Drosophila melanogaster: one gene and its partner. The protein of the gene in region 1 purifies or fractionates together with the protein of each later gene. This does not show direct contact. Each region holds a gene or a part of one and is shown on either strand. Other genes may lie near its edges.

Region 1 (4,383 bases):
CGTGTCCTGAAACCTGTGACGTTCGGCTGCGACAGTTTCTTAAATTAAACTAAAGCTTCCGTCTTGGTCAGTTCCAAAAAGTTACAGAAACTGCGACGCCTGCTGGAAAATTGACAGAAGTGCTGGTTCGATATCCATCGGAGATGGCAAGCCGCTTTATTCCCCGCTAGATCATCGGTAGGGGGATTCGGTCGGTATTCGCTCGTTACACGATTTTTTATTTATTAGATCAAGCTTCAAGTTTTCTTACATACAAATTCAATTTTTATCGTATCTTCAAAATCATTTTAATTATAATAACTTATTTTATTGAAGCCTCTGCAATGTCAAGCTATTTATAAGTCGATTGAACTGCATACAAATACTACATTTGTACCATCGCTATTGCAATCGATAACTCCAGACAACAACAAAGAAAATAAAAGTTTACGAAAACATAACAAAATTCGACATTTTGGAAGTTTCCCTCGCCACAAGAAATGGCCCATAACTACCTGCAGCCAGTGCACGATCACTTCGATGACGTGGACAGATTCGAGGACGTGGACGACGACCTATTCCTGCAGAACAAACGGACGGGAGCAGCCAAGCTTCCGCAGCAGAGGAGCACCAATCCCTTCGAGATGGATGACGATGACGAAGAGGAGATAACCTCGTCGCCATCAGTGGCCGCACAGCGACTGGCCTATGCTGAGAAGCGAAGGGCCATTGAGCAGCGAACTCTGGACTCTACCAACAAAAGCTTGGGTAAACATGGGGTCAATTGCCAGCCAATTAAGGGGCGTTATTGATGCGTCTCTCTCCTACAACCCCCAGGTCTGCTCTACGAAACCCAGGAGGTGGGTAAGGCGACGGCCGTGGAGCTGGCCAAGCAGCGGGAGCAACTGGAGAAGACATCACATCAGTTGGACGAGATCAGCTCCACGCTGCGCTTCAGCCAGCGCCATCTGACTGGTCTGAAGAGTGTCTTCGGCGGCCTCAAGAACTACCTTTCGGGCAACAGGGACCAACCACCCACCGCGACTGGTTCGCCCACGGGCAGTCAGTCCTCCCAGGAGGCCAATAGCAACATTAACCAGGGTGCCTGTGGCGGTGCTAGCCCCTCGGCTCCGCTATCACCAGCGGAGCGCTACGACAATCATCCGGTTAGCCAGCTGCGTGGTGATCCCAGCAGCACCTACCAGCCCCAGCGACAGGCGGCCAATCCCTTCCAGGCCCAGATCGATTCCAATCTGGAGGAGATGTGCAGCAACCTGTCGGTGCTGAAGATGCTGGCCACCGATCTGGGTGGCGAAATTGAGTCGCAAAATGAATTGCTGGATAACATGAACTACAAAATTGAGGATGTCGACTTGAAGATTCACAAGCAGAACAAGGACATGAGCAAGCTTCTGAAGAAGTGAACAAGCGAGCATTCGCATACTATTGTATTGATCATTGCTTAGAATAGCCCTCCCTTAATATACAAATCTTAGCCATACCATATCGCACGGTGAGCACTTCACAAGGCCATTAAGAATGCATTCCTCATTATGTTTCCTAGTTTTTTATTGTTACACACACCAAAACAATTCTCTCAATGGAGTGCTCGTAGTTGGAGAGCGATAAGTGTTCAGTTTTAAATAAAGATTCATATAAAAAGCAAGTATATCTGGCCTAGTGTTTCCCCGTCTGGATTGGAATACATTATACATTTTCGGAAGATATCTCGAGTTGCAGTGCTCGCGCCCTAATAAAGATATATAGTTCTTTGTTTGAATTCGATAACTTCCGGACAACAGCGACCAATCGATTCGCTAAAGCTATCAAGCAATCGAATTCCAGTTGATACCATCGCTGGAAAGCTCTTTTCTCAAACGCATCCAAAAGAATAGCGCCAACTCAGCGCATTCCGGAATTCGTTTCGTAAATATTCTGTAAATTTTGCGATAATGGAAGAAAACTTCGAACCGTACACCCCACAGTTGCTCAAGAATCCCTTGTCCTATTCGTGAGTAATAAGATACATATTAAAGGCACTCATGACCACGTGCAACTCATTCTGCAGGGATCTCGTGAAAAAGGGCGTTGAGTTCGAGGTCGACAATTCGCAGCAGAACCATGCCAGGGATCTGGGTCTCGACAGCGACAGCGACAGCGACTACGAGGATGCGCTGGACGTGGACGGCGAGGAGCTACGTTCACCGTGGACATATTCATTCGACGAACTGCGTGCGCTGATGAGCGAGATCGACGAAAACATTTACAAGCGGATCACTCGCACCGGTCACGTGGATCGGGAGGCGGTGCCGAACAAGGCTAGGGTCTCGGTTCGGTACAGTGGCTACTGGGAGGGCGAGACCGCTCCCTTCGACTCCTCCCTGCTGCGGGGCAGCAAATTCGTGTTTGAAACTGGCCAGGGAACGGTGGTTGAAGGCCTGGAGGTCGCCGTCCGCAGCATGCGTCCTTACGAGCAGGCCGAGTTTATAATCTCCTACAAGCTGCTTTTCGGAGAACTCGGTTGCCCTCCGCGGATCAAGCCCAAGGCGGATGCGCTCTTTAAAGTGGAGGTAATTGACTACTCGCTCATAGGAGATGCGAAGGGCATCGATGCTATCCCCCAAGAAGACCGCGACAAGTTTTGTGTGGTCTATCCGAAGGCTGTCGACTTGCACCTACATGGCAAGGACTCGGTGAAGCTCGGACGCTATCAGAGTGCAGCAACTGCCTTCGAACGGGCAGTGAGCTCACTGAACTACTGCCGAATGGCCAATGACGAGGAGGAGCGCAAGCAAACTGAACTGCTTACTACCCTGAACGTAAGTGGCCAACAAGAATAGCTTGCAGAGGCAGCGTTCTCGACCAGGCAGTTGATTCCTTGTCTCCTTTCTCAGCAAAACCTGATGATCGTTTACAACAAGATGAACAAGCCGAAGCGCGCCTGCATCATGATGAAGGCCTTACGGCACCTGACCATGGGCAATCCGTCTTGCAAGGCGCTCTTCCAGGAGGGACGCGCCCTGGCCGCTCTGGGCGAGTACAACTTGGCCCGCAACGCTTACCTGCAGGCGCAGGCCAAGCAGCCGGCGAACAAGGAGATCAGCGACGAGATTATCAGCATGAACAAGAGAATCAGCAAGTATGAGGAGGCCAGTCGCGATATATGGGCACGTGCCTTCTCGTTAAAGAACTCAAAGTCAGACGTCCGCAAAACGCCTGCTCAGCTGGAGAAGGAGGCAAAGGAACAGGATTTCAATGACAAAATGGAAGATTTGATTAGGCGGTTTAAGAACACTTCAGATCAACAAGTGAGCTTTTCACGTAAATCTTATTCGAACGCTCAGTTCGACGCGACTTGCAAATTGGCCAAGGAACACAACCTGAAGCTAACTTTGTCTCCCATCCAAGAGGATGTTCTGACATTGTCTAAGCCGGATGTTAAGTTCGCTTGAGCTTACTAAGAAGCCCCAGTATTTCATATTTCATATCTTACTCAAAAAAAAAAACATACCAAACATGAAGGTAATTTAGTTCCAAGTTCTAGAAGAGCAGTATCATTAGTTATTTCGATATTAGCAACATGAATATCGTAAGCCCAGACGAATGTTAACGTTTTTTGTTATTTAGAGCAACGTAGACCTTAAGTTGTTAAAAACCACAATAAAAGTAATGCACGGCAGCTACATAATCGTCAGGTACTACTTAATTTACTTTCCATTACTTTGCTCGAATTGGCGATGCAGGCACTCCAGGCACGCACATCCTTTGACATGTCCAAGTCTGGGCTCTACGATATGAACCTCCTGCAGCTCAAAGCTGTCGGAGTCGTAGCTCGTAAATGATTCCGATTTCACAAACTTGCAGCACACGCATATACAACCCAAAATGCCTGGGAAAATAAGAAAGTAAGAGGATTTGGTCTAAGAGCAACTCACATCCGTACTTAAGGAGACTATCCAAAGAACAAGCAGCAGGAGCGGACAGAAAAAACTCCTGGCCATAGGTAGTTCGCCCGCACTTAAGCTTGCTTTTCCATCATCAATGCCCAGGACGTTTTCAATAAATGTTTCCGCTTGGGATTTCGTATCTGCCATTTTCTCGAAGAAAGCTATTTTTTTTAATTGGCCCGAAAGTTTTTGATCTCCTCCAAACCTGTTTAGTTAAACGACTGTCTATGGCTACCAGCTAGTTCCTAATTCAAAGCTTGGGATTGTTCAGTGTCGCAATAGATTAAAGAACAGTTGTGCCGCCCTGATGAATGTAAATGTGTTTTTACAAGATTGTAACTGCAAGGCAAAAGAATTCTTCCACTGCACTGCACAGTACATGAAAACTAATGGATTGGTTCAATTTGGTTTGAGGGACTCAACACAGGGACATATTTTATTTAATATTTATAAAGTT
Region 2 (7,727 bases), on another chromosome or scaffold:
CAGGCGCTCCTCCTCCTCCTTTCGCTTTCTTAGCTGCTCCTGCATGGCCGCCACCATGGAGGCAGACATACCCTTCTTCTTGGCGTCCTTCTTCTCCTCCTCAGGCTCGGCCTTTTTGTCTTTCTTGCCCTTCTTCTTGTTTTTGCTGGACTTTTCCTCCTCTTCCTCGGCGGCGGGCTGGACTTCTTCCGTAGCCACAGGCTCGGGTTCTGGCGCAGGTTTCTCCACGGGCTTCGGTTTGGGTTCAGTAGCTGCCTTTTGCTTGGCTAGGGCAGCCTCCCTCTTTTGGCGCTCCTTCTTTTCCTTCTTTTTCTGGGCTGCCGACTTCACAGTGCTGCCGCCCTCCTCGTCATCGCTGGCCTCATCCTCTCCGGCGTTTTCTGCCACTGCAGCCTGCTTGGCCTGCTTCTTGTTCTTTTTTTTCTTGGAGAACTCATCGGCCAATTCTTCGGGGGAAACAACAGTAGTGGCAGCAGGAGCAGCCTCGCCGGCGTATTCCGCTTGAAGCTCAGCTAAAACCTTGTCCAGATCTTCATCGTCGTCGTCCTTCCCCTTGCGTTTGGCCTTTTTGCCCTTCTTTTCGTTCTTCTGTGGCTTGGAGACCACTACCTTTTCCTCCTTCTCAGACTGGCTTTCCTGGGCAGCTGGCTCGTCCTGCTCGTCGTCGTCCATTAGCAGCTCAAAAGCCGACTTCTTAGAAGCTTTGCCCTTGGCGGGCACCACCTCCTCCTCATCGGAGTCGTCATTTTTGCCTGCTTTGCCTTTTCCCTTGACATTAAGCTTCTTGACCCCCTTGGTCACGGCTTTAACATCGTCATCGCCAGCTTGATTGCCCTTCAGGGCATGATTCTGCTTGTTGTTGAGGCTCAACTGGTCGCTGTCCACATCGGAGCTGTAAGATTGAATAATTTGCGATAGAAAGTTTGCCAAGTTGGCAGGTGGGCATGAACTTGCACAAGACTCACATTTCGTCCACCGAGGAACCGCCTTCGACCTTGGTCAGTATCTCTTTCTTGCCCTTTTTAGCTTTAACCATCTTCCCGTTTGCGACTGCAACACGCTCCTCCTCTGGCCGAAAACAAAAAGCCGTGGGTTATTCACCGCTGAAAGATACGCACACGCGACGCCTCGGCAGCCAAGAAAAAGAGGAGGACTGTCCACTGGGTTCTCCTGGTGCTGGTGATCTTCTGATGGTGACTCCGCTTCGGTGGCTCCAGCGACGACGTCCTGCTCCGGAATTGTGCAATCGACGGCTAGATCTGACACGGCGCTTTGCCAATTTTTGGTTTTATTTAGCCGAGGAAATTCTGCACACAAGCACGTTGTCGAGTAGTACGGTGCGGGAGGGTTGGACAGGCAGTGTGACCGTGCGAGTGGATTGCTGAAAATCACAATGGCTGAGCTAAGGTTATCGATTATACCCTGTAATATCCAGTTGAGCGGGGTATTTTTGTTTTGAGTCTATAGTTGTACATAAAGATATATTAAATATATATACACCTTTTTCAATAGAATCGCGGCCTCGGCGCTGGCGTGCGCTGTTTACGGGAACCATTTATCGCCTCTGGTGCTCAGTTTCTTACTCATCAGACATAGGGCAGTTGGTTTTATTGGTTTTCCTAATTGGTAAATTATTTCAACTGCGAAAAGTATTGAACATACTCTTAAATAATATCGATCACTAGGGTATTTATGGAGAAAGAAACCATCTATGGACTTTTTTACACATATACTCGAAAAACTTTCCGGATTGCGGAAAGATATTTGGCATATTTTGGAATTTGATTGCTTATTTCTTAAATGTAAGTGACAGATAACTAACAGGTACTCTTGAAAAAAAGATAAAAGAATAAGAACAAGTTCTTCGTGTGTATTATTTTTGTGAGGAGGTAAATTCCAAAAACAAAAACTTAAATGTGGACTGCCGATATTTTATATACTTTCTTGAGTTCTTTACTTTACATTTTTGTTTCATTTTATTTTTGAGAACTTTTTTTAAATAAGGAAAATATAAATACATAAGCAACTTCCTCACGTTTCATATTCCACCGCTTTAATTTGACACACTTTAAGAAAATACCACAGCCAAGGATATTTTCTACGCCGCTAAGTCCGGTCACACTTAAAAGTTCGCCAAGACGCTTTGTGCTCAAAATTTTGCTCGAGAGTTTTTTCGAATACTATGACTATTTCCCATTGAACTCTTAAAACTCAAAGTGCAGTGCATCTACTAATTCAACAGCGTTAAGAATATTTGTAAGTACGAGTACAAATAGCAAATCCGGCTGTGCATTTGCAAAAAGCCGGTAAGGAACTCACATATTTGGTCCACAGCTTGATAACCAAGGTAAATCCGCGTGATTGGACAATGTCCAGCGAAGCATCCGGAAGTATAACCATCAAAGAAGAAGCATCTACAAGCGGTACGGCCACCAATATTCCCGTTGAATCCAGTGAAACAGAGGTATGAGTTTGTTGTTGTTGCCATCCTTGTTTTGGCGTGGTAGAAGGAGACGAAAGCAGTGCAGGAGTAACTGTTGCTGTCGCTTTTCTTGAGACTTTCGTTTGCTTTTTCTCCATTCAAACTGTTGCTTTTTTGCAGTTATTTTAACAGCCTAGACTAAAAAACAAATCACTATTGAATTCAAGAACCCTAACACAAAGTTTTTAATTTTCCGTTACAAAACATACAGAAAATGTATACAAATGTTAATTTTTTTATTTTATATATGCTCTTATAAATACATTTAAATTTATAAATAAATATTCTCTAAATATTTCAAAAATTGTCCGTAGAAGTAAAACAACAAAATGTTGTTAAATGAAAATTGTAGGATATTTAAGCCTTCGGTGTCATAGAAGGTAACATTGTATGTTCTCAAATGTTTACAATACAGATGGTCCACATTTCCAGGCTAAGAAACCCGAGATCGGAGCTGACAAGGCGGAATCGCAGAGCGAAACCACCGAGGGCGGGAAGGCGGCGGAGACGACGGAGAACCACTTGAAGCGTCTGCAGAATCTGCGCAAGGAATTGAGCTATCTCAGCGAAACCGACTGGATGTACGAGAGTCTCGACAAGAAAGCAGCGCAGTAGGAACGGCAGAGCATTTATCGGCGAAACATTTTCAAAAATGTTCACATACGTTAGCAAGTTTTTCACGAACCCGGATCGTAACCGGGAGGATATTCTGGAAAGTTTGGATCGGGAGAATAGCTTTTTAGACCAAAAACTAATGGAGGAGAAGATGGATCAACAGCTTAAGGCGAATCCAAACGAAATTAATGGGGTTTTAAGTAACAAGATCGCTGAGCTTACGCATGGACTTTCGGAAATGGACGTGAGTAAAGAAAGTTCCTGCACCGCCAGAAAGGGAGTGATCACCAGTCTAGACGGCGATCGGGGAGTCATCGACAAAGACGTTTTATTCGAAACGAAGGTGGCAGAGGATATCATCTTGGATCTACACGTCGGATGTGTAGTGGAATATTTGACTTTTACAACGGGGGAAGCCATGCGGGTGGTCAAGGTGAAGAGTATCCTTGAGCATTCCTGGGAGGACACAAGCCAAAAGGAGGTAAGCTCATCGGTATTAGATTTATTAGCCATTTGTTAAAGCCAATGCTTAATATCTGTAATCCTAACTTCTATTAGATTGAAAAAGCTGTAGACAACCTGAAGAACGAAAAGCCGACATTCTTTAACACCGAAACAAGGAGCGTTTTGGGTCTGATTAGCCAGCGTCTGGCATCTTCCATAGACGTCGAAACGGAATACGGACAGCTGACCGTCGAGCTAGACAATATCGAGATGAACTTCATCCCAACGAATGGAGATCGAGTGCGCCTAGAGTGCAACATTCAGCTGGATGACGGTTTCGTGGACAAACAGGGAGAAATCCTAGAGGTGACAAAGTTGTTTCCCACCCGCATTCAGGAAGGTGAAAAGTGCATTGTGGAGCGCGTGTACGTGCACATGGTTGTGCTGGGTCCGGAAACCTACATTTTAAAGACAGACTTGCCTACAGGCACGGATCTTCATCTGGGCGACATTGTGCTCGCCGATCTCATCGAGTGCCAGTATGTAAGTTAAAGAAGGAACATAAAATCTTGCGATTTTCTTCTTTATACGTGTGTTTTAATTCCCCAGTCCAAATTTACGAGACGCGCCATTAAGATTACTCCGCTGGAGAAAAATTTTGGGGCTACCAAGCTGACTCAGCAGAGCAGTATGGGATCATCCGGCAGTGGAAAAGCAGTGACGGTGACTGGTGTAAATCGTTTCATCACCGCAGAGCTCTGGCAAAAGGAGAGCGTATCTTTAAAGCTGACCAACAATCTAAACCGCACTTTGCGCCTGGAGAGCATCACCGTCTGCAATGACAGTGAGTCTCAGTTGAGCGTGGTCAGCCCTCTCGAATCAAAGGAAATATCCAGCGGCTCCGAAATAACGGTGACCTTTGAGATCCATACGCAGTTCCTGGGGGAAGCAATCGAAAAGTACGTGCTGAATTTCGATCTACTCAAGGTGAGGCGCGTCTTCACGGTGATCGTGTGCAAAACCAAGGAGGAAGTCGCTGAAGCTGAGAAACGTATGATAGCAGCTGAAGCTTTGATGGCACCCGGTCGTAACAGCCAGGAGAGGTCCCGGTTCTATGCCAACCAAGTTTGGTGCAACAAGGTGGATGTAATCCCGGGACAACAAATTGTTACCAAGCGCAGATTTGTTGCTCTGCGTTTGGGTTGCTTTGAAGTAAGGAGTCCTCTCATTAAAAAATATGCTTATTTTTAATACTACCGTTCTTTTAAGGTGCCCAAAGAATTGCGCCAAATTTGTTTGACTAGTGAACGGCGACAAGAGATGATCAAGGCCATCGAGCAGCACTATTCATTCCTCACGGAACCCCTAAGCATTAAAACCTATATGCACCGTTTCAGATTGCTCCTACACCTCGAGGAGATCGAGTGCTTCGTCAACTTTCGCAACTACGACAGAGACCGAGCACACTTTCTGCGTGACGGAGAGTTCCTCACGCTGCAGATCGAGAATCTAGCCGAGCGTCGACCGTCGCTGGTCATTGGCGATACACTGCGAGTCATTAATCCCTGGTCGGATCCCGATTCCCAGACCACCAAGTCATACGAGGGCATTATCCATAAGGTGCTCTTCGATCGCATTTTACTCAAATTCCATTCCAGTTTCCAGGAGAAATATAATGGCGAGGACTATCGACTAGAGTTCTATTTCTCACGCTACAGTTTTCGCAAGCAACACCATGCCATCTCCAAAATTGTAGGAGTAATGGGCGAGGATTTCTTGTTTCCCAGCAAAGTAACCAAGCGCGAGAATCCCCAGCTGGATGTTTATATGAAGGATGACGACATGTACTTGTACGATTCGAAATTAGAGTGGTATAATCAGTCGCTTAATTCCATCCAAAAACGTGCTGTTTTCAATATACTGCGCGGTGAAGCGGAGAACATTCCTTATGTGCTGTTTGGGCCTCCGGGCAGTGGAAAAACAATGACACTTATTGAGACACTACTCCAGTTGGTTAGGAATCTGCCTGGTGCCCGAATCTTGGTGGGAACGCCGTCGAACAGCTCAGCGGATTTGGTGACAAAGAGGCTCATCGATAGCAAAGCTTTGCTCCAGGGAGATTTCATTCGCCTCGTTTCGTACAATCAAGTGGAGAAAGACTTGATTCCTCCGGAAATAATGAGCTACTGCGCCACAAGTGATGTCGGTGCTGTGGGCAGTTGCGAGGACAAAGTGAGTAGAAAAATTTTATCATTTGGATTGGACACCAATTAATCTTGGCTTTGTTGATATTTGCTATAGATGATGGTCACCGAATCGGGATTGAAGCTTCGCTGTCAAGCTAAGTTTATAGGTACTCATCGCATTACCATCTCCACCTGCACTACTTTGGGAAACTTTTTACAATTGGGGTTTCCAGCGGGCCATTTCACTCACGTGCTGTTCGATGAAGCTGGTCAATGCACCGAACCAGAAACAATGGTACCCATTGTAATGCTAACGAAGAAACGCTCTCAAGTTGTTCTCTCAGGTGATCCTCGCCAGCTGCAGTCTATTGTCACCAGTCGAATTGCCTCGAAAATGGGATTTTCCATATCCTTTCTGGAGAGATTGCTGGAACGGTCGCCGTATCGAAAAGATCTTCAGCGATTTCCCGAAAGCTCCGGCTACAATCCACTAGTGCTAACCAAATTGTTGTACAATTACCGAGCATTACCGTCGATTATGAGCATTTATAGCAGGCTATTCTACGATGACGAACTGATCCCAGTTCTTTCCGAAAAGGATTCAAGGGAATCTCGCCTACTAAGTAAACTGCGGTGTGTATTTGAGTCAGAAAAGGATATCCCTCAAGCGCACGGCACGTTCTTTTACGGAATCATTGGCGAAAACAGGCAAAATAACGATTCCCCTTCCTGGTTCAATCCCCAAGAGGTCAGGGAGGTGTTCCTAATGACCATCGCCCTGTACCGTGCCAATGTGACTGCCGATCAGATCGGTATAATCACGCCCTATCAGAAGCAGGTGAAGATGCTTCGGAGTATGTTCATTGGCACCGACGTGGTCATGCCGAAGATTGGATCCGTCGAGGAGTTTCAGGGACAGGTGGGGTCGGAACTAAAATCGATATTACGTGCACACTTAACGTTTGTTATTTCCAGGAACGAGACATTATACTAATATCCACGGTGCGTTCATCAGAAGAGATCCTGCGCATGGATGCCCGCTTCTCCTTGGGATTCGTGCGTTGCAGCAAGCGACTTAACGTGGCCGTTTCCCGAGCACGTGCCATGATGATCATCTTCGGGAATCCCCATCTTCTGGCCGTCGACGAATGCTGGCGCCAGCTAATCCTGTTCTGTGTCAAAAATAACGCCTATTTTGGCTGTGATCTGCCTCAAATGGTGATAAATCAGAAAGATGAGGTCCCCGTTTGCTTGGAAACATTCGTGCCTTCACTGAATACTACAGATGATTTGAACTAAGCACATATGACAGTTTATTATTAAATTAAAACACTTGTTATTGATGAATTAAAGTAACACAATTAATCATTAAACTTGTTTTAAATATTTGTACATATGTGCTAATTTTAGCGAATGGTAACACTCCCAAGCGCAGTCTGGGAACGCTGCTCGTTTGGCTTCGCAGTGTGGTAGCACTGGCCGGAACCGTTGTAGCGCCATGTTTGCGCTCCTTTTGTTTTCTCCTTCATTTGTTTTGCTTTTTTCCGCCGTTAAGTTCTTGCCTTAAAATCGGTGATTTAAGGCATTGCATTCAATTTCGATACAATGGAGCAGAAAGTGGCTGCCGAGCAGAACATCTTCGTCGTCGACCGCAAATTGAAGAAAACTTGCCCGCAAGCAGATGTCGAGGTGAACGGACATGTGCTTAACTTTTGCGAACCCGACTTTATTTCGTTAAATACCAATTTGTAGCGCCTGGCTAAGACGCACTGGCTCACCGACTATGCCCGGGATATATTTTTGACCATGAGGGAGCAAGAACTCAGCCGTCGGCCTTTGTTTTACCTTTCGCCGCAGCTGAACGAGCGCCGAAGAATGCTGCAGTTGCTCAAACTGGCGACCAGCGCCCACAAGCTTAGTCGCTGTGCTTTGCACCTGGGTGAGCACTGTACAGAGGAGCCTCGCTGCAGGCACAAAACCCATGTGCACAACTCATTGTA

Evidence for each region.
Region 2: the proteins of shu (region 1) and armi purify together in Drosophila melanogaster (affinity purification with western blotting, with the first as the bait; one study listed by BioGRID). This does not show direct contact.

Annotation. Positions count from the first base shown.
Region 1 is NT_033778.4:23,840,743-23,845,125, reverse strand, and holds shu (shutdown), read left to right. Parts: upstream 1-1,839; 5' UTR 1,840-1,931; coding exon 1,932-1,990; intron 1,991-2,047; coding exon 2,048-2,798; intron 2,799-2,873; coding exon 2,874-3,431; 3' UTR 3,432-3,665; downstream 3,666-4,383. Other genes in the region: Snap29 (Synaptosomal-associated protein 29kDa), read left to right, coding at 480-747, 817-1,403; CG46398 (uncharacterized protein), read right to left, coding at 3,687-3,868, 3,923-4,073. UniProt on the Drosophila melanogaster protein: Co-chaperone required during oogenesis to repress transposable elements and prevent their mobilization, which is essential for the germline integrity.
Region 2 is NT_037436.4:3,459,207-3,466,933, forward strand, and holds armi (armitage), read left to right. Parts: upstream 1-2,110; 5' UTR 2,111-2,256; intron 2,257-2,334; 5' UTR 2,335-2,368; coding exon of another isoform or gene 2,369-2,464; intron 2,465-2,897; exon of another isoform or gene 2,898-2,914; coding exon of another isoform or gene 2,915-3,097; 5' UTR 3,098-3,134; coding exon 3,135-3,578; intron 3,579-3,655; coding exon 3,656-4,084; intron 4,085-4,150; coding exon 4,151-4,753; intron 4,754-4,810; coding exon 4,811-5,773; intron 5,774-5,842; coding exon 5,843-6,646; intron 6,647-6,702; coding exon 6,703-7,026; 3' UTR 7,027-7,108; downstream 7,109-7,727. Other genes in the region: eIF5B (eukaryotic translation initiation factor 5B), read right to left, coding at 1-892, 966-1,036; CG46463 (uncharacterized protein), read left to right, coding at 2,369-2,464, 2,915-3,097; CycJ (cyclin J), read left to right, coding at 7,333-7,416, 7,480-7,666. UniProt on the Drosophila melanogaster protein: Probable RNA helicase required for axial polarization of the oocyte during early and mid oogenesis. Plays a central role in RNA interference (RNAi) process, a process that mediates mRNA destruction of translational repression.